3 linked regions of the Caenorhabditis elegans genome follow. The protein of the gene in region 1 interacts with the protein of each later gene in a pairwise test. Each region holds a gene or a part of one and is shown on either strand. Other genes may lie near its edges.

The links.
Region 2: the proteins of C18H9.1 (region 1) and E02H4.2 interact in a two-hybrid assay, tested with the Caenorhabditis elegans proteins (one large-scale study listed by BioGRID).
Region 3: the proteins of C18H9.1 (region 1) and vet-6 interact in a two-hybrid assay, tested with the Caenorhabditis elegans proteins (one large-scale study listed by BioGRID).

Annotation. Positions count from the first base shown.
Region 1 is NC_003280.10:6,696,440-6,702,497, forward strand, and holds C18H9.1 (uncharacterized protein), read left to right. Parts: upstream 1-2,644; 5' UTR 2,645-2,726; coding exon 2,727-2,897; intron 2,898-3,103; coding exon 3,104-3,256; intron 3,257-3,300; coding exon 3,301-3,426; intron 3,427-3,469; coding exon 3,470-3,594; exon of another isoform or gene 3,595-3,639; coding exon 3,640-3,852; intron 3,853-3,904; coding exon 3,905-4,043; downstream 4,044-6,058. Other genes in the region: C18H9.6 (uncharacterized protein), read right to left, coding at 4,262-4,469, 4,523-4,597, 4,684-4,761, 4,811-4,974; rpy-1 (43 kDa receptor-associated protein of the synapse homolog), read right to left, coding at 6,057-6,058.
Region 2 is NC_003284.9:14,275,562-14,284,626, forward strand, and holds E02H4.2 (MIF4G domain-containing protein), read right to left. Parts: upstream 6,066-9,065; 5' UTR 6,039-6,065; coding exon 5,922-6,038; intron 5,493-5,921; coding exon 5,331-5,492; intron 5,277-5,330; coding exon 5,214-5,276; intron 5,171-5,213; coding exon 5,075-5,170; intron 4,982-5,074; coding exon 4,865-4,981; intron 4,069-4,864; coding exon 3,985-4,068; intron 3,942-3,984; coding exon 3,725-3,941; intron 3,671-3,724; coding exon 2,902-3,670; intron 2,854-2,901; coding exon 2,764-2,853; intron 2,660-2,763; coding exon 2,603-2,659; intron 2,556-2,602; coding exon 2,475-2,555; intron 1,837-2,474; coding exon 1,803-1,836; 3' UTR 1,561-1,802; downstream 1-1,560. Other genes in the region: Degenerin del-1, read left to right, coding at 9-268, 323-440, 785-965, 1,149-1,273, 1,325-1,479.
Region 3 is NC_003279.8:13,266,763-13,273,962, forward strand, and holds vet-6 (Very Early Transcript), read left to right. Parts: upstream 1-3,221; 5' UTR 3,222-3,237; coding exon 3,238-3,529; intron 3,530-3,583; coding exon 3,584-4,414; intron 4,415-4,473; coding exon 4,474-4,809; intron 4,810-4,857; coding exon 4,858-5,930; 3' UTR 5,931-6,020; downstream 6,021-7,200.

The sequences.
Region 1 (6,058 bases):
TAGATTTACGTTTGCATGGAAAAAAGGCTACTGTTTCTGTTAGTAAAATACTGAGCTTGTCTGAATAATTTTTTTAAGGCATTGATTAAAAGATTTGAAAAAACCTTGCATTGAAAATTGAACTTATATCAAGAAATCAAAAGGTTCACATGTGTTCATGTTAATTCAAAACCATTACATTGAAATTCAAAACTGTCCTATAATCTGTTTTTGACCACTCTACGTGTAAAATAAGCAAACTCATGACTTAGTTTTCAGTATCTTCTTGGGATTATACATTTTAATTTCGAGAACGGGAGGGCAAACGACTAGTGATTTACTATGCAGATTTGAATGCAAACCGCATGTTTTTTATTGGACTGTCCTAGAAATGTGTGCACTCAGAGGACAGTTTGAACATCACCTAGCAAGTTTTTGTGAATATAATGGACGATCTTAAAGTGGAGTAGGGTGAATGAAGATTTTTAAATCTAGAACAGTTTGAAGCTCAGAAATATTTTATATTTTCAAATGGGACTAATTCCTTTGTTTGAATTTCCTCCAAAGTGAGAACTGCAAGACAAATCAGCGATACCATCCGTACACTTGAAAATACTTGTAGACTCCGAAATCATTGCCTGTTCGTTTTTATTTTCGTTCATGAGAAATTCAATAAAATTGAAGTATAGGAAAAAAACGAGACTCTGTGTACGCTCAGCGGACCAAATAAATTGCGAAACTCACTAAGTTGCGTATTTTCAAACTGACGAATCTTGAAAAATACACATCTAGGAAACAAATGTTCAACTAACAAAATGCTTAGAAATATTTTTTATTGCAAAATACCAATTAATTGTTGAGTTGCACACAGTCAAACTCATTTTATCAGAAACCGCCGAAATTTTTGAGATAGTTTCTGCTCTAACAGTCATAACCCGATTTTCATTGAGTTTCAGAAGAAAAATTTTGCTAATCAGTAAGTAAAAAATATTTTGCCACATTTTTTCAGTTTTAAGTTTTTTTATATTTTCATGTTCAGCCAAGTTGCAGACCGTTTTCTGAAAAAATCCAATTTTCCCCATAAAACTCTTCATATTCAACGCAGAATCTTGAAATTTGGACGAAACATCGCACTTTTTGGTGCTCTATCAGGTTCCATCAAAAAAATTTTGAAAAATCTACAAATGTCCAAAATCGTCCTCCGCTCCGAAAAATGAAATCGGATGTTTGCCTTTCGGAAAATGACCAAAAAATGAAATTGGGATATTGGGGTCGAAAAATATGTTTTTCGAAAGCTGAGAACACGTTATTCACGAATTTCATGTTCATTTTTCATGAACTTCTGTTTTAAATGACCTGAAATTAAAATATGAAGCAAATTTTGTTCTCACGTGACATTTTTTTCGCTTAACAGCAACTGGAAACTCATTTTAAGCAAATAAAAAAAAATCACGTGGGAATGAAAATAGGGTCATGTTTTAATTTTAGGTCACTTCACAGAAGAAATCATGAAAAAAGAACATGAAATTCGTAAATAACGTGTTCTCAGCATTCTAAAAACATTTTTTTCAACCCCAATATCCCAATTTTACTTCTTAGTCATTTTCCGAAAGGCAAACATCCGATTTCATTTTTCGGAGCGGAGGACGATTTTGGAGATGTGCAGATTTTTCAAAAAAAATTTTGATGGAACCCGACGGAGCACCAAAAAGTGCGATGTTTCGTCCTATTTTCAAGTTTCTACGTTGGATATGAAGAGTTTTATGGGGAAAATTGGATTTTTTTCAGAAAACGGTCTGTAACTTGGCTAAAAACGAAGATATAAAAAACTTGCAATTGACAAAATGTGACAAAATATTTTTCATATATTATTCAACAAAATTTTCTTTCTTATTTTCAATGGCTGTTTGATTATTACAGGTACAACAAAAAAGTTCTCAAAAATTTTTGTGACTTTTGGTAAAATGGCTTTGACTCTGTGTAACTCAACACAAATTGGTATTTTGTAAGCGACTTTAAAAAAGTAACATTAAAAAAAGAAAACATATTTGTAATCATTTTGGTAGTTGAACATTTGTTTGTGAGGCGTTTATTGTTTGAGATAAACCAGGTTGAAGATATGTAATTTAGCGAGTTGAGGAAGCTTTTTTTAAAAATTATATGACGTGGTGAATTGATTATATAACCATTCTTACCTGAAAACTGTTTCAGAGCGCCACAGCTGCAAATTTCACACTATGATTAATGAATGTTTTTTTTAAGTGGTCTATAACTTTCTGATTTATTGTGGTAATTTTTCACACCTTATTACTCGTTTTTATAGTCATTCTTGTAATTTGCCGATTTAAAATTTTTTTCACAAGTTTCAATCCATTTCGTGACTCGAATCACACCTCTCATTATTTGCGTGTTCCTAATATGTCTGAACCTTTCTTGGTTTGATATGGAACATTATAAAAACTGATCTGATTGATCAAAGTGATAATATAGATAGCACGGGAGGATCAAAGTTTGCATTTGATGATATACACACAAATATGTGCTCCAAGAGAGAAAAGAGCAGGTGTCAGGTTTGGAGCACAAAAAGAGCAAATAGAAGTGGACGGATGCAATTGCGGTTAAGAAATAGAAAATGGACAATAGGCAGAGAAGACACATTTTTGTTATTGGTGTTCCTCAGAAATATTAGATTTCTGCTTCTTTGACAAGAACATTCTTGAAATTAATAATAGTTATTCTACATTAATATGCAGTTATCCATTATCGTCCTATTAGTTTTACCAATTTCTTCATATTCATTTATTGTCGGAGGATGTATTGGGCCGAAATCTGTACTCGAAAGGTTTCTCAATGATAAACAGAAAACTGAATTGAGAAAAATGGTTCATAACAAGTTTGATGGGTCAAATGCAGAACAGGCAAGTTTTATTTGAGTGACTGGTTAAATTTGAAATAAAAAGTATACATTCGTTCTTCTAGTTTGTCATCAAATCATTTTGAAACATTTGAAAAACTGAACATTTATAATACATGTCTGACGATTTTTTTTTTGAATGATGATCTGGAAATACATCTAAAAATGAAACCACATCGGTATTTACGATCAAATCACGGTACATTTCAGGTCCTTGAAGAATCGAATCGTTACGTGTATGGCCACGTCACTGAAGAACAATGGCATTCAATTGTTCCTGAATTGGCAGAATATCAAGCAAAAAAGCATGAATGCTCGGTTTACGCTCAACTTTTGCCAAAACCATTATATCAACAATTACTGGTATTCAGGCATTTTTAAGAAATACAAAAGTACTAATTTTCTAGAAATCAGTACTTCGAGCGTCTGAAATGGGTGCATCGAAATATGACGTCAAACGATTAGTGGATGATTATGTGAATCGGCTTGCCAAAAACGGTGTTCTACCTGATGTTATAGATAAAGAACCTATAGTAAGTACTACATTTAATTGTTGTCAAAAATTTTAAATTCCAGCTTCCACGTGTCACACTTCCGGAATCTGAAATAACATCACAATCGTATCGAAAATACCCGAAAAAACCGAAAGCAATAGGAAAAGTTGGAAGTACCGGTGGAAATAGAAATGGAATGGGTGCCATGTTAGTTTTTCAGATAAGAATTAAAATTTATTGATTATATTGCAGACATCCAACTCTGATCAGTTATCCAGAAGAGCAAAGAAAGACAAATAGTCGGGTTAAAAATAATAGGAGTAACTATCATATTGGAAATATTGGGAACATTGGTGGAAACATTGGAAATGGTCAAAAAATGAACAGGAATAAAAATGGAGGAAGAAATCAAGGAGGAAATCATCCGGATAATATGGGAATTCCAATGTTCCCCATTGCTAGACCGTAACCTTTTTCATTTAAAATTCTGCCAATGTTGCCTAAATTTATATTTCAGAACACCGTATGATCTTGCCGAATACATTGAACGAGGTTTGAACACTGGAAGATCCAATCACAGAACTCCACAAAATTTCCGAAGATATCCAGAACATGAATGTGACTATTATGCGGGACCGTGTGCCACATCATTCTAATTTTATTAATTTTTTGATAGCTGTATATTTTTCACATTTTCCTAATACGTGTAACTCAACGAGGGTGTCTCCGATTCCGCCTTTTCAACGACGTTTATGTTTCAATTTAAATAAACGTTAAATTCATAAAAAGTATTTTGTACCTCGCAAACACATATGAATATTTAAACCAAAATTGGAATAAAACATTATTTATTTTAGTTATTTCAGAATTATGCTTACAAATGACAAATAATTCTTGAAATCTGTTCAGCAACCCATTTTCCGTTAGAATCAGTTGCAGTGAAATACCAATCTGGGCTCTCAGCCAAAACTTCCAGGTAATTTGGATTTGGTCCAATCGAGACCACGATCGAACGGAAATTGTATTTTTGTTGAAGTTGATGCATATAACTGGATGCACTTCCATCAAATGCAGCTATATCACTAAAAAGGTAAAACTTTGGAATATGTAAATAGTTGTTATAATTGTAACTCACTCAACGCCGACGGTGACCAGGATATTAGTGGATGAAGTTCCTGGATCGCGTTCCTCAAGAATATATTCATATGCTCTGAAAATTTTGATAATGAAGAAGTCTACATTTCAAGCTTCTAAATTGCAAAAACCGGCTGTTAAACATAAAAATAAATTGAGTACCTCTCAATCTTTGGGTCAGTCAGAACCATAACTTCACTGTATAATTGATCAATATTTATGTCCAAAAGTTCAGTGCTCCTGAAATTAAAAAAAATAATTAGGACCAAAATTCAAGATAAGAACTCACGTAGCATCTGGATAATGAAGTATGTAATTTTCATAGACACCTGAATCTGGATATGGTACATTAATAGCTTGAGTGCTCCCATCTTCAAAATTGTAGTTTGTAGAATTGTAAAGATATTTCTGAATGAAATTAAGAACTCCCTGTGTTTGTGGAAGCTTTGTCATTTCGTAAGCCAACGCGATTTTTCCATTGAATTTTTTGGTGCATGGTGGGAAGTTCACTTAAAAATTGATTGATTAAATATCTGGAAATATAGTGGAAATCTGAAAATTCAAAATTTCGCGCTATTTTGGCAAGCTGGCTTGGGTGGTTTTGGAATATGTATGAAGTAATAGGTTTGTGTAGCCAGGAAATAATGGTTATCAGTTGAATGGTCTCAGTGCATTCATGCGTTGGGTTTTATAGTTTTCAAGTCAGGAAATGATTTTTTTGATTAGAGACGGAAGTTGAGAGACTGTCGGACAAAGTTTAAAATTTTAAGAGGTAAAATGATGACATTATTCTGAAAGGCGTCTGTAGTGTTTAAAGAAATTATGATGACTACAATAATCATAATCACTTAAAAAACTATAAGATTTTTTGGAAACTTATCACTTTACAGTTCTTTGAAATATAGATAACATTTTGATTTAGATCATACAAAGATTGCTGCCCAACTTTTAATTATTACAGTTTACAGAGGTCATCTTTAAAATTTTTATGCTAGTTAAGTTTTGAATTCAAATATTGGAAGATGGAGTTAAAAAATACAGCGGTTATCTATGTTTAAGTTCTCCTAAGCCCGTACACAGTTTTCAATTCAAAATTGCTTTCACCGTTTAAAAATTCCCCCGATTTTGAATTTTTTTCTGTTAAATGTTGAAGTTTTAGAGAATAAAATCATGTGGGTTCATCTATTTTCAGAATTTTTCTCAATGAGATGGACAACTATCACACAAAGTTTCAGCTTGTGGGTGTTATCATGCACAAGATTTCATCATATTCAAAAATTGAAACAAATTTTTATGGAAAGAATTAAAACTTTGAAACATATGAATTGAGATCAAAAATAAAAATAAGAATAACTTCTAAAAGATTAATTGAAAAAAAAGATTGAAAAGTGAACATGAGCAGGAAAGAAACTGGTGGGTGACAATGTAGAAGACTAGAAATTCAAAATTTTGAAGATTCCTATTTAAAAAAAAACGATAAATGATATCACAAAACAAGGGATTTCGAGGGGATGATTGCAGTTTGTATTGAGGCTTC
Region 2 (9,065 bases), on another chromosome or scaffold:
TTTTTCAGGTCTTCGGTTGATGATGTTTGTGAATTCTTCGGATTATCTACCGACAACCGAAGCAACAGGAGTACGCATTGCAATTCATGGAAAAGAGGAATGCCCTTTTCCTGATACCTTCGGGTATTCTGCACCAACAGGCGTCATCTCGTCTTTTGGTATTTCACTAAGAAATATTAACCGTCTCCCTCAACCATATGGAAACTGCTTGCAAAAGGATAATCCACAATCGAGAAGTATTTACAAAGGTTATAAGTATGAGCCAGAAGTAAGTTGCTTTAGTGATTCACTTGATATGTTACATTATATGATACACTTGAAGGGGTGCTTTCGTTCTTGCTACCAATATCGAATAATTGCAAAGTGTGGTTGTGCGGACCCTAGATATCCGAAACCCTGGAAAAGAAGTGCTTGGTGTGACAGCACTAATACCACAACCTGTAAGTTTTTAAGATTTTTAATGTCATTTTAAATAATATTTCATGAGAATAAACTCGTGTAATGAAAGAAATGATAGTCGGAACAAGTTAAAAGATTAAGTGATACGAGACAATTGAATTGATTCCGTGTAAAACACTTGTAGTTGAGTGAATAGGATAAAGCTATTCGACATTTAGTGGGAATTTCTTGCCTGATAATTGCTCCTAACGTAGTTTAGAAGTTGAAAACGCTTAGCTTAAAGTGGAACAAAGCGGACCAAATTTTACATCGGCTTAGCCAAAGTTCCGTGTTTGACCCACCTCGTGTTAAAAGATTGTTTAACTCACAATATCAATTTTTACAGTAAACTGCCTCACGACAGAAGGTGCCAAATTGTCAACAAAAGAAAATCAGAAGCACTGCAAATGTATTCAGCCATGCCAGCAAGATCAATACACAACAACGTATTCAGCAGCAAAGTGGCCGAGCGGAAGTATACAAACATCGTGTGACAATCATTCAAAAGATTGCAATTCTTATTTAAGGTTTGCACTGTTTTAAACTCTATGTAAAAACCTGATAATAATCATGTCTCGGCAAATATCAGAAAACATTTTTTTAAAGAATTTTTGGATATAACATGTAACTTGAAAAATGGTTTTGTTTCTAAAATACATTTATTCTCAAATAAATTAGTTGACAGTTAATGACAAAAAATCGATTTTCAGAGAACACGCCGCAATGATTGAAATTTATTATGAACAAATGAGCTATGAGATATTGAGAGAATCTGAGTCGTATTCTTGGTTCAACTTGATGGCCGATATGGGTGGCCAAGCTGGCTTGTTTTTAGGTGATTTTAAACAATTTGAGTAACTCGCAATTCAAAAAGTGAATTTTTCAGGCGCAAGCATTATGAGCGTGATTGAGTTTTTATTCTTCGCTGTCCGAACTCTTGGAATTGCATGTAAGCCAAGAAGATGGAGGCAGAAAACGGAATTATTACGAGCTGAAGAATTGAATGATGCGGAAAAAGGAGTATCCACAAATAATAATTGATTTTTGATCTCTGTGGAATTCAAATGTGAATAAACAGGTTTTTTTCAAACAGTCTACTCGGGCTCATAAAAAATCCACAAGAAGATACATTTTATTTTGATCAACTTTGACCGTAAAAAGTTGATATTCAAGAGAAAACATGGAAAGGTTGCTGTTGAATACACATAATGTTGAAGAGAAGATTTGTGTGGCCGGATTTCGAACTGGGATTCCAAATTTTGCTAAACGAAAATTATACAAACAAAGTAATTGAAGAATACAGGAAAATGAGAATGAGCTAAAAAACACAAAAACAGATAGAATGAAACGCACAGCTCCGTTGCTTAGTTTAGTTGAAAGTTTGTCAAGTGGAGAACTCTGTAAAATTTATTTTCAGTCCCGTTATCCACTTTCACGTCAAATCAGTAGTGCCATGAATCCTTCCGACCAACGTCATAAAGATTGATGATGTACCAACTATGCTAGTTAGTAGTTATTACACCAACATAGTTGATACATTCAATTTCTACGTTACAACATCTTGACAGGTTTTCCCTCGAGAATGGCCTGTGAGCCTGTAGAGAGAAGTGAACCTGTAGAGTACACAGACAACATAACTGCCCAGGAAAAAAAGGAAAAAACTATCAAGATGTTTTCGCCACATTTGAATGATTAATTATTAAAAAACCACGAATTCATGAGAATGCCTATTTTCTGAAAAAAAAAAGCGGCAACGAGATATCATTCAAAAATGTAAGATTTAGGTGCCTTCGCTACGAGATATTCGCGCGCCAGAACGGTATGCATTCTCATGATCAGGTGGTTTTTTAATAAGTGTTAATGATTCAGTAACAAATGAGTGAATAAGTAAAATATTTTTTTTAGTTCCTATTCAGTATCAGGGCCGGGGTTTACTCCGAAACAGCTATGCCTATGTTATTCTTGTAACATCGTTTTCAGGACTAAAAGTCTGGTTTGTATGCAAGTTTACCATTCTTCACATTAGTTCAACTCACTCTTTCTTGTCAACTTTCTTATTGTATTTTGATTTCTTGCCAATGCCCGAACAGCAGCCGTAACCGGGGTTTTTGAGAGTTCTAAAACATGATGTGCATTATAAAAAATACTTCCGTTGTCAACTTACGAAGCTTTGTGTGGGCTTTGTGAAGAATCTGCGCACGAGACTATAATGATTGAAGGTCTGAAATTTTAATGACAATGGCGGTTGAACTCAGAACTTAAATTGAATTTCATGAATGTCAAAAATAATAATTTGTTTTCAATTAATATTTATTGTAAACTCACGGAGTATATTGTTCCAATTTTTCCCATGGATTGTTTTTGTTGAATTGCATTTTTTGATCAATCTCAATGGGGACAGAAGGGTTGGAACTACTGGAGTATCATAATATTCGTAAGAAATTTCATTTTAAAAAAACTTACCCGCTTGAACTTTCAAAGGAACTTTCAGTTTCTGGATGTTCCTCATTTTCTATTGCAGCATGATCTAGAGACTGTCCAATATTTTCTTGCATGACATTCAAATGTATTTCTTGATGAAAGTCATTGATGTCACGGAGTAGATTTCTCTCGGCGAGGATTCGGATCGTTTCCTGCACAATTGTACTGATTGGTGCCTCCAATTGTGAAACTTTGCCGCTGACAACTCCAGTTTCTGTCGAAGGTGGCAATGGGTGATTCAGTGATACATCTATTGATTTGTTATTTGTTTCATCGTGAAGATTAGTAACGCTAAGAAGAATTGGTTCATCGTTGTTCGAAAAGTTTTCAGCAGTAGCGGTATCATGTTCAGCAAGTATTGTATTTTCAACTTCAGTAACTGATTTTGCAGCAGAAACTATAACGTCGGGCTCTGAGCGTTTAGAAGATTGTTCCGGTACAGTACAAAAAATATTGAATTCAGCAGGCCCTGTCTCATTCGGGCTCTCATTCTCGGCGACATCTGCGATCAAGCATTGCGATGATTTCATTTTCTCCGATTGGTTCCTTGTTTGACAATTTGTGAGCGTTGAATTATATTTTCCATAAGCGTCACCTTCATTCTTTTTAGTTTGTGGTTGAATTAAAGATTCTTCGGCATCTTCGTAAGCCGAGTTGAACGAGTCAGTAGATTGTATTGAGAGGGAGGGAGCAAGTACCATAGGAATTTCAACAACATTCGAAAGTTGTTGAGCGTTGCATCCATCAATATCTGAACGAGAGATGAATTTAAAAACAGAAAAAAATTGTATCGGACTCTTGTTACCTTTTGTTTTCAGAACACAAACTGTTTCATTTCCATGAGATATGACAATTTTAAGCTCAGTCTTGTTAGGAGACAGCGGTAATTCGGAAACGACACCTGATGAGGAGGATGAAGATGATGCATTATTGTTTGGCAAATGCTGTCTGGATACTTGATTTGAACGGTTTTGGTTATGGCCATGTTGGTTTTTCCTGTCGTTTCTCCGGAAATTGCTAGTCTAAATAACTCAATTCAAAAATGAAATAAATCAATATTGATACCTTGGAGTTACGGTTGTTTCCTCGGCAATTATGTTTTCTGTATTGAGAAGTAATGTCCGGTGGGAATAAAAACGGAGTCAAATGCTGTAAAGATGATTAAGATTTTCATGAAATTTTTTTTTTTGACACTAGTTAAAATTTAAATAAAATTATATTTCACTTAGGTAGTTTTGTTACGATCTCAAGGAGAGATGAACAATGAACGTATTGATTATTTTTTTACGGAAAGGGCAAAATTACATTTGAAACAGAGGTGGCGGCAATTGTCGTTTGGCAATCGAATTTTCGCCAATTTCGGCAGTTTTGGCAATTGCCGCAATTGCCGATTGCCGAAAATGTTGAAAACCGGCAATTGTCGGAATTACCGATTGCCGGAAGCCAGAATTGCCGGGAACATAAATTTAATACGTTTTGTAAATTTTTGAGTCTAAACATGCATTTAAAAGAAGATGTTTTCTTTTCAAGCTTAAAATGTTTAAATCCTGAAAGTTTTGGCCGTTATCTATTAGAAAATGACTAACCAAATACTAACAAGGTGATTTTTTTTTTCATTTTTTGAGTTATAATTATGTTTGAAAATTGCCGAAAATGTCCGGCAATCAGCAATTTCGGCAATTTTCGGAATCCCCGATTGCCGAAATATTTGAAAACCGACAATCGCCAAAATTGCCAAAATATTTGAAAACTGACAATTGCCAAAATTGCCGATTGCAGGAAAATTCCGATTTTTTTTAAGTGAGCATCAGCTTTCGAGTTTTCTGAGTCAACCTTTTATATTTTTCATTCCGACCTATTTTTTTTATTACAATAACTTCCAAAATCACTACTTTTTTACTGAACGTATTCAATTTAATTGTAAAACATTAAACTTCTTTCTTACATCCAAATAATTCAGGTCCTTCAGGTTCGGCGAGCTTTGAGCATTTGGAGTCCTTGGTTGGTACTGATAAGGAGGAGATACACAACACAACTTGTTCATTTGGTATTGATTACATGGCTGAATAAATTTTCCGTCCATGGTCTGATTATGGTAGGTTTAAAAAATGTGGAATGCCACGTAATTGTTCTCAATTGAAATTCTGATTTTTACCTGACTTTGTAAAGCATATTGCTCGGAATTGTAGTATTTTTGATGTGGCAGTTGTGCTGGGTGATTTTGGTTTGCATATTGGTAGCTTGTAAAATTCTGTAACATTTTAATTTCGAAATGTGTCAATAAAAGTCCGAACCTGAACATTCCAATTATTGGGTGGTTGAGATGGGTATGGGGCTGATGAAAATGTAGAATAATCCTGAATTCAAACATGAAACAACATTTAAATTTATAATTATCTGGTTTAAATTACCTGCACCACGGGAGCACCTTGAAAATACACTAAAGGATTTTGAGTTTCCGGAATCCACGAACTTTGGGGATACATCGGTTGCGAGAAAAACGCCGGGTTCGCTGGAGGGAATGTGTAGTATGTAGTCATCTGTGGAGCAAAACGTTCATACTTGGCAGGAAGCTGGAAATCCACTCAAAATATTATAAATTAAAAATTTTTAAATTTTTGGGTGAGGATGAACCAATGATATTCTGTATCTCCATGTGAGCACAGCAAAATACTCTTTCATTTTCATTGCACGCATTTTCATTAAGTCCCTTAATTTTTTTTTTTGCATAACTTGAAAATCGAGCATTAATCAACAAAAGCAACTGGTGTTATTCATGTTTTAGTGTGAGTGGAGATTTTGAAAAAAAAACACCGGCCAGTGCTCGTGCCGGTGCGGTACGAGGAAGAACATCTGTCACAAAATTAAGGACAGTGGTAAACATTCATCCCCACTAAACTGGCAAAAACAAAAAATGCTCGCAAGACCATGTCTCATATTTTTTCCATTTACTTTAAAACAAGCACAGTTTATATCTCTCAAAAGATTGAAAAAAAACATACCCGCGTTTCTGGACTTTTAATCGTTGACTGTGGATCTCCTTTGAATTCTTCATTTAAACCGTATTGTGGGGTCTGAGTTGGGTTCACAAAGCTTATTCTGTTAGAATTGGCTTCCATCGTTTGAGATTTAAATATGATCAATCTGAGATATATTTTTATGGCCCACCAGTGAATAAAAGGATATATGAAAAAAAAATAGAAGAATTGTAACATAGCACATACTTTAGTGACTAAATCTAGGTACACACTGTTAAAAATTTTCAAACATTATATTAGCATTCTATCAGTTTTGCACACTTCTGCATGTGTTCGAGGCTATCTAAATTATTCACAGCTTTTTTCAGACTTTTATAAAATTTCGTGTGATTAAAATTTTGCCAAGACTTGAGTCTCTACGTAAAATGTCAGTTTTGTAAATGAGAACAAGCTTTTGTATCGCATTGTTTCGTCGCTTTTTTTATACTAAAGTTCAAAATTTAGCTCACGCGTTGCCTATAATAAATTGACGCCTTTCCAAAGAATAGCAAAAAATAAAATCGAGAGAACGGAAAGGAGGAGACATCAAGATCCACAACTGAAAAAAAATGAGCATAAGACATTTGACTGTAGAAAAGAGAGCACAGAGAAGCTATGGCGCAGACAGAAAAGAGGCGGAGTTTTGAAAGATCATATGTAAGCGCATACATTTCCGAAAAGAGGGCTAACGAATATTCTTGTTCAACAACAAACCTTAAAAGCATTCATTTGCCATATGGTACAATTTTGAAATAGCTTTATGGCAACAAAGCAAAAGTCAAAAAAAAAGAGATTAAAGATGTATTTGATGAGATAGAACTGTTCAACTTTTTTTCAAGTATTAAGCTAAACGTGCAGCGGATTTATTTTTTTAAATTACTCATTTCAAGCTTCACGGGCTGCCCATAATATAAACTATTATAAAATCAATTTTTGAACAAGTTTACCTGTTATATATATTAGATGTAGATCAAAATCGTGAAACATTCTGAGATGTAATGAAATTTAATTTTTCACGAGAAACCAGATTCTAACATTTTGATACATTCAAAATGTTATCCAAAATCTCCAAGATGACAGGATAATTTATACATCACAAGGATTTGAACTAGAATTTTAGAATTCAGACTTTTGCAAATTTCTAAAATTGCTTCTTTGAAGTTACAAAACAGTTCCGTTTTCCTCAGGTTGCCAGTTTTTCAAAAACAAAAATATTGCAAAATTTACTGCAATTCAAAAAAAAATAGTACGTCGAGTGAAAAACTTTACATTGTTAAAATTACAGTGCATAAGAAAATATGACAGTTTGGTAATATAAACAGGCATGGCACACAATAAATTGTGCGGATAATTCAATTTAAAATTTTTGTAAGAATAGGGGCATTTTAAAACGGAAGTCGGTGATTTTTAACTCAATTAAAAATCTATATAAAGAATTGTAAAACAATTGACGCAAATTCAAAGTGTTGTAACCTTAAAACAATCAGAAGCATAATTAGTTTTGGTAATATGCAGCAAAACTGAACAAGCATACACTCAATTATGCATCATTTGAACTTTAGGATTTTGCAACTAGAAAAGAATAAAGTAAGATGATGTATTTTGAAACAAAAATACAAACTTCTAGCTCGAAGTTTAAAAATACCTTTGATTGAATGTTAGTGTGGAAATTTTTTGAAACAAAGTTAGGCACTTTGATACAAAACTACAAGAGAAAATTGAAGTTTCAATAAAATTTGTTAATTCCATTTTATACATTGAAATGTTATGTCGTCTTGATGGTGACTAGAAGAAAAGCCAACAGAGACATGTCGGAAGTTAATGGTTTTAGGGAAAACAAAACAATGTCAATTTGTGAAAACGTTCCGCGTACATCTTTTGTTGGGAAAAAACTTCACAAAAAAACAAATGCTGTCTATTATGAGAATTTGAATTTTTAAAATTAAAAATCCAGAGGTCTCTTTCTTTCTAATTGTCTAGTAATTGTAAATAGAAAGACGTCAAAACCAGAGAAAGTCAACATGAGTTTTATGTGAGTGATAATATTGGCATTTTGTTGTACTCTCCTTCTCAGTTTGAACATATTCCCACGATACAATAAATGGCTTTTGTCGTTCGATTCATAGTCAGAATCAAGAAAAGTGCAAATTTATGTGCATCAGTGACTCCAAAATTAGTATCAATTGAATGAACGGATTTTGTTGGTCACTTGCAAATAATAGGGGTTAGCAGGTACATTTCTGGTTATCATCATGTTTTTTAATACCTTTCAATATCATATATATATATATATTATCCTAAAGACCTCTCCAACTCAAACAGCAATTTGGTCTAAAACTCGTTTAAACTTAAAACTAGGACCTAAACTGCAAAGCAGAGGTATGCGGCAAATGTCAAAGTTTGCCGAGCTCGGAAAATTCGGAAATTCTCTTTTTCCAATATCTGCCGAGAAAAGCAAATTTGGCAAATTTGCCTCTTATCAAACTTCGAAAAATTTGATATTTTTTGATAGTTTTTTGGAGCACCAAAACTGATGAATTCTTAACACACATCTGGTTTCTGAATAAGTACCGTGTAGTGTATCTGTTTAAACGTCAAAAAAAATTTCAATTTTAAGTCATTTTACTAAATTTTTGGGAACAAAATCACAGGTTTTAAATCAATAATTTTTCATTCGACTTCGACTTTCAACTTTCGGCAAGCAAATCAAAAAAAAAAGTTACACATCAAATATTATGAATGTTTAACAACAATTTTTTGTTCAACGTAATTTCGTAGTTTCAAAATTGAAAAACGTTCCAGTAACCGAAAAAAGGAAAGGAGAAAAATGTATATCAACTGACTTTTTTCGGTTATTTTTCTTTCTCCGTTTAATTTCCGGCCACTGCAATGCAAGTTAATGAAATATTCGACCATTTATCTTAAATACCTTTTCTGTGCCTGGGTAAAATCAGTAAGATAAAAAAAAGTGAAATTTAAACTAGGTTGGCTCGATTTAAATTTCACTGAAATTCATGGATCTCATCGGAAACGTTTTTGTTGAATTGAGCTAGGAAGTTGTATTTCAATAGAGAATTTTTTTAAAAAATGTACATAGGAGCTAATCATGAGGGGAAATCTTCGAGATCG
Region 3 (7,200 bases), on another chromosome or scaffold:
CTCAAATACTTACGCAAATGTTCAAATTAACATTTTTTACAAGTTTCGTGTTATATTTTCTTTTCCTTAATAAGGAACCATCAGGTTCTTCCTACCCTCTACGGCTCTAGATACCTCAACTTCGATAACTCCTATCTACTCGGAGAGGCGAGATATGAAAAAGTGATCAACTGAAAACTTGTAGAGCACATCAAAAACTATGATATTCAATTTAACCTACGTTTTTATCCATCAAGATGGGGGAGTTAGACTTACATTTGTATTGCATACTTTTTGTTATTCTACTGGCTGCTCTAACTCCCTCATCTTGAAAGGTAAACACATGATTTTAATTAATTGTTATAGTTTTTAATATGTTCTACAATTTCTTAGTTAATCACTTTTTGATATCTTGCCTCTCTGAGGAGATAGGAGTTGTCGAAGTTACAGTATCTATAGCTATGCGCATATGAAGAATCATATGGATTCTCATCATGCAAAACTACTTATCATCTGATTTTTGTGAGGAACAATGATTCAAAAATGTTTTTTCAAATGATGAAACAAGTTTTGATTTCATCTGAACATTTAGTGTTGGTTTAGTGAAGATCAACTGCCAACTAAACAGTTTCCGTTGATTTGGGTATTTTTGAGCAATTTCAAGACTTGAAACCGTGTTATTTCTATCAAGCTGACGTTTAAAAATTGGAATCACGCATATTGATGCTTGAAAAATTGGTTTCGCGTAGAAATTTTGTCATAGAGTTAACTTGTTCTAATCGGTTCGAAAATCAATGATAAATCAACCAAATATTGAATTTGTTCAATAAAATGTTTTTTAAAACTTTTTTAAAGCAATAATAATCCCAATATTTAATTATTTTTTCCAAATTTCATCTTGAAAACTCGAATAATCGCGAAATTTCGCGTGAAATTCATTTAATACCGTAAAAGTGTGCAAGCGCGCTCCGTTGGACTTTTCAATTCTCGATTTTCACAACTCTCCCGATTTGGGGCGCTGTGCGAAAAGTTATTATCTACAGAAAGCAGTGATACTTTTTCAGAAGAAAAGTTACAGATTTCCAGAGGTTTTGGGCAGAATTTTATTTCAGATTCTGGTAGCTGATCACATTGTTTACCCCTACAAAAAAGTAAACTTTTATCGTACAGGCAAGTCATTATACAGTGCGTCCAACTTCTATAGCACCCCCCTCCAATTTGGCGGTTTGGAGCTTCTCAAAATATTTTTTGAAAAAGTGCTAGTGCAGTTCGATAGCAAATGTTGAAAAACCTATGCTCCCCAATTTTCATTATGATATCTCAAAAATCACAGGAATTAGGTCAAAATATCGGAAAAATGGCCGTCCAACTTCTATAGCACCCCCTCTGATTTTTGGCAATTTTCGGTAAAATCGGGGTTTTCTTCTTAATTAATAAATTTATTTTGTGAATAACTTTACAACAAAATGTTCAGACGGTTTCATTTTCACATTTAAAAAATAAATATAACCCCTGAAAACACGTGGAACGCCTAGGATTGTCCTGGAACGTTCGTATTTGCTTCAGAGGCCATTTCTCGGCTCCCAATGATTTTCGCAGCACCAAACTTGACCAAAATGATCTTCCCCACCTATTTATTACTATTCAAATAATTGTTGAAAACATTTATTCATATGAACCAAATGGTAAAGGGAGCAACTGCAGTGATTTTCAAAAGGCTTGATTTAACTATGAAAACTAGCGTTTGGAGGCGCAGAGCTGATGGTTTTGACTTCCTATTGTACAGAATTTTAGCTCATCCGGTTCAAATATCCTTGAAGCTTTGATTTTGATTAGAAGTCTTCGAAAATTTATTCGGAAAAGTTCATGAGACCGCTCAAAAGAGGACAAAGGCAAAGCGAGGCCGCAAGTATTTTTCTCAAGCTAACACGCGAAAATTTTAAAGACGAAAGTAAGATATAACTTTCTGAATGGCGATTTTTCTAGCTGTATTTATAACTCAACTGAAATTTAGCGAATTTGCTCATTGAATATTTCTATGGTCAAAGAACCTAAAAGCTAACAGACAAAACCTGAATCGGTGAATGTAGATGTCTAGCATTTGATGTATCCATGGATTTCCACAGATTTGATGTTCACATAATATAATTTTTTTTTTTTGCTATAATTTAGTAATTCTTAGTCGAAAATGTATTACCAACCTTCAGCTCTGCGCCTCCAAACGCTAGTTTTCATAGTTAAATCAAGCCTTTTGAAAATCACTGCAGTTGCTCCCTTTACCATTTGGTTCATATGAATAAATGTTTTCAACAATTATTTGAATAGTAATAAATAGGTGGGGAAGATCATTTTGGTCAAGTTTGGTGCTGCGAAAATCATTGGGAGCCGAGAAATGGCCTCTGAAGCAAATACGAACGTTCCAGGACAATCCTAGGCGTTCCACGTGTTTTCAGGGGTTATATTTATTTTTTAAATGTGAAAATGAAACCGTCTGAACATTTTGTTGTAAAGTTATTCACAAAATAAATTTATTAATTAAGAAGAAAACCCCGATTTTACCGAAAATTGCCAAAAATCAGAGGGGGTGCTATAGAAGTTGGACGGCCATTTTTCCGATATTTTGACCTAATTCCTGTGATTTTTGAGATATCATAATGAAAATTGGGGAGCATAGGTTTTTCAACATTTGCTATCGAACTGCACTAGCACTTTTTCAAAAAATATTTTGAGAAGCTCCAAACCGCCAAATTGGAGGGGGGTGCTATAGAAGTTGGACGCACTGTATACCCTAGTTTGAAATTGCTTGGCAAAGTAAGATGAAACATTAAAAGAAAAGGCACTGTAATTCAGCAAAACAGACTTGACTGTACGTCCCAATTTATTGCAAGAGTGGGAGAATATTAGTGTCATTTGACAGATGCTCAGTGTTTTTCTAGATATTCGGTCTCCTGGGACTCCACTATAAGAGGGTTGCCATCGTCTCCTTTTCAGACAATGGCAGGCTCCTCCTTTGTCCAGATAAATCACTTTATGGGTAATCGATAACCCAAAACGCGCAAATGGAGTCTGACAGATTTCAGGCACCTTACCACTCAGTCTTCCAGTCATTCAATCTTCAACTGCCCTTCCTGGTTGGTGAGCTGGTTTTTTCTTTCCTTTTTTCAATTATTTTCCTTATTTTTCTGTTACCTGTTTTGTCGTATTGTCTTGTCTAGAAGATTCTAATTATCTTCAATTTCCAGAAAGTAAACTCCAACGATGAGTTCCAACTCTGCACTTGAATTGAAATCTGCTCTCTCACAACTCAATCGCGAACGTTCTGAAATGGTCAAAGATCTGGAAAAGGCACAAAAAGACTATGTGGCTGCAAGAAACATGCACAAGTCTACTGGCTCTCAAAATCACCTTGAAGTTGTTAACACATGCTGGAAGAATGTTCAAGCGGCACAAAAAGCTCATCAGAGCAAAGTAGAAGAATTTCATATGGTTCGCCGTTCATTCGCGGATGCAGTGAGGGAGAGTCCGGAATCTTGTTCTATTAAAAATCGAGGTCAGTTTTCATTACTCTTTGAAGATTATAGATTTTCTAATCCTTTAATTTCAGAAAGCAATCCATCTTCAACCAATGATCAAGATTTAGCCGCCAAAAAAGCTGTTCTGGATGCCGAATTCCGAGAAGAAGCCATCAGAGACGGAGTTTTTATCCCAACTCAACGATACAACTCTACACTTCCACCACCCTTGGTTCGAAATGAATATGTTGCCGAACCAAAGAAATCGACCGCTGATGAAGATTTCGAAAAGCGGATGGTAGAGCTTCAACGTCAAGCTTCGAAGTATGCAAAGATTGGTGATTCAGCGGTATTAAAAGATCGCTCAACTGGATTGACAGCTGCTACCATACAGCTCTTCGCAGAATATTTTCCCAAGCGCCGCGAGCTGTCAAACGCTCGAAAAGACTTCATGACAGTACTGAATTTGCATGCTTCTACTGGTTTTCTAAAATACTGTGAAGCGGTTAATGCAAGCAGGAAACACTTAGAAGCGGTAGAAGAGGCTTATCGGAAAACAACCAATGAGCTTTGCAAGGATCTTAATGAATATCCGATGGAGTCTGATAAAGATGTCAAAGAGCGTGCTTCAAAGTATGCAGAGATCTGTCGTTTAAAGGAATCAGAAGATCAACTTTTGGATCTGCTAAAGCCGGCATCCAGCGAATTAATCCCGTTGTTCAATGAAATAGTGAATCTGTCCGGCATTCGTACCAAGAAGACACCGACTCAAACCACTGAAGCCTCACAGATTGCTCCAGAAAGCATTTCTACCTCAAATGTAGATCCAGCAACTCAACTAGATCCTGAAACTACCCAGACATCACCGCTCACCTCGGCCCCAGTTTCTTGGTTCAACTCTGAAAGTTCCGATATAAACCAAGGTAATTTAATATATTTATTAATATACGAAACTATAATTAATTATAAAATCTTTTTGCAGACATCACATCATATCCGGATCTAGTACACCACCCTGGTGTAGATTCCGAAAAACAGATGGTCGAGTTTCATCGTCAAGCTTTGAGGCTTTATGAACTTCAGACTTCTCAGACACTTGCTTCTTGTTTTGATTCTGAAAGTCAAGAAGTGAACTCATTGCTCAATAATGCGTTCGTTGAAGCCTCAGAGATTACTGAAGAAAACATTTCGACCACAAATGTAGAATCTACATCACAGTCAGAGCCAACAGAAGTAACTCCAGAAACTACCCAGGAATCAGCACCCACCTCTGCTCCAGTTGTCTGGTCCGAAGCCCCAGGATATGGTGCGAGACAAGGTAACTAATTAAGTACCACAAATCTTTTAATCATATTATTATTTTCAGAATGTAATCCTCGGATGTGCACCAACAGACAACACTCTTCTCCAATCAGGATCCGTCATTGCACATCAAGAAATGTCACAACTTACAGTGTCTATTGCTGGAAGAGACCTTCTCACGTATACACCTACAATCATCAAGAGGAGAAATTCGAGCAGCACAAGTGTCTTGCCTGTGTTCCAAGAGTTCAAGAAAACCACTTATTCCCCACGTGTGCAGTTTGGAACGAGAAAATCTCCAATTTCGTGATTTTCATGGACAATATGGTGACAAAGCAAAAAGATGAGCAGTACATGTTCAGCTTCAAGACTGGGGGATTCGAGCAAGTGAACTATCCGGAGGTGCAACCAGCTCAAGGACCGAAAAACACTGATTTTGTAGCAGCAGTCAATGGAGATGGAGATGATCAAGTGATCATCCAAAAGTCACGATTTGGTGTGAAGAAGCTGGAGTTCAGATATGGAAAGTATGTGAAGATTCCGAGTGTTGAAGTGAGAACTCTTTTGATGAAGGAGCTGGAGGGTGTGGAGATGGTTCAAGAACCATCCAGTACTCTTCCATTATCCACAATCCGCTGGTGTCCAACATACAGTCAGAGTGCTCTCTATATCTTCTCCAGTCGATTGGGACATTATCTCAAGTACGCATTCAACCCATCTACACAGCAATTCGAGCAACTCAACTGTTCGGGATGCCCATTAAATGTTGAGGAATGGCACTTGTGTCCATTATACGCAGAGTACGCTGATTCTATCAAAACCTATGTAATTCATGTCTTCAACGATTTCACAAAGGAGATTGAGAAGTATATGTATTGCGTGACAGGAAAATGTTTCTATCAAGTTACATGTCCGGAAATCGTCTACGATTCATCGAAGGCCCATAGCTCAACAGTGCTTTTCACCGTTTCTGCTCCAAATCACCCATTCACAATTTTTATGAAGGATGTTAATGGAAGAATTAAGAAGGAGCAACTCAACGGGCTTCACAATGGTTATATGGAACTTCCCAGCGCCAAAGTCTACACGTTGTATGCGATGAGATGTAATAATTCGGCTGGAACTACCGGCATCTGAAAATATATTCATTTTTGCAATATTTCCATTTGATTTTCATTGTTCTGACCTGTCCTTTTTTGATAATTAATTTCAATAAATTATGTTTTTTTATTAGAATGCAATTTTATTAGAAGCAATTTATAAGAAGCAAATTTTATTAGAAGCAATGGCTTAGGTTCCCCGAATAGGGCCACTGAGATTCTTAAAATACTTTCGAGCCAGACCTAGGTAAGTAGGGGAAGAGAAAAAATGAAATAATGAGTGGACGAAAAAGTAAAATGACCAATTGGACGAGCTATAGTCTCCGGGAGGTCAAGTTGGGAAGAGGGTGTCGGAGGGAAATAGAGCCTAGGCGCGACGTCTACCGTAGACAGCCCTACCCTAGACTAAAACATGTTTCAGGTGTGTCTCAAACATTGATACACGTCTCAATTTGAATTTGTCCACTAAACGGTATGACTGACATTCCACTTTTTCTGCTTGAACTCAGTGAATATGAAACTTTTTCAAATTTGGTTTCCAAATTCTGAAAGACCACAAAATTTGCAACAAAATGACAGGGATTTTTGAAAATGTTAGTTTAAAGCTAGATATGATTTTTTTAAATTGGAAAAATTGTCGTCTGTCGACAGACGAAAAAATAGATTGACAGACGAAAAAATAGATTGACAGACGAAAAATAGATTGACAGACGAAAAAAATAGATTGACAGACGAAAAAATAGATTGACAGACAAAAAATAGATTGACAGACAAAAAATAGATTGACAGACGAAAAATAGATTGACAGACGAAAAAATAGATTGACAGACAAAAAATAGATTGACAGACGAAAAATAGATTGACAGACGAAAAAATAGATTGACAGACGAAAAATAGATTGACAGACGAAAAAATAGATTGACAGACAAAAAATAGATTGACAGACGAAAAATAGATTGACAGACGAAAAAATAGATTGACAGACAAAAAATAGATTGACAGACGAAAAAATAGATTGACAGACGAAAAAATAGATTGACAGACGAAAAAATAGATTGACAGACGAAAAATAGATTGACAGACGAAAAAATAGATTGACAGACGAAAAAATAGATTGACAGACGAAAAATAGATTGACAGACGAAAAATATTTTAACAGACGAAAAAATAGATTGACAGACAAAAAATAGATTGACAGACAAAAAATAGATTGACAGAGAAATTTCTGATATTTCCGTCGCGATTGGCGATTGGGTCTGAAAACTTTCTTTTTTTACTTAAAACATGTTTGTTTGAGTATATACAAA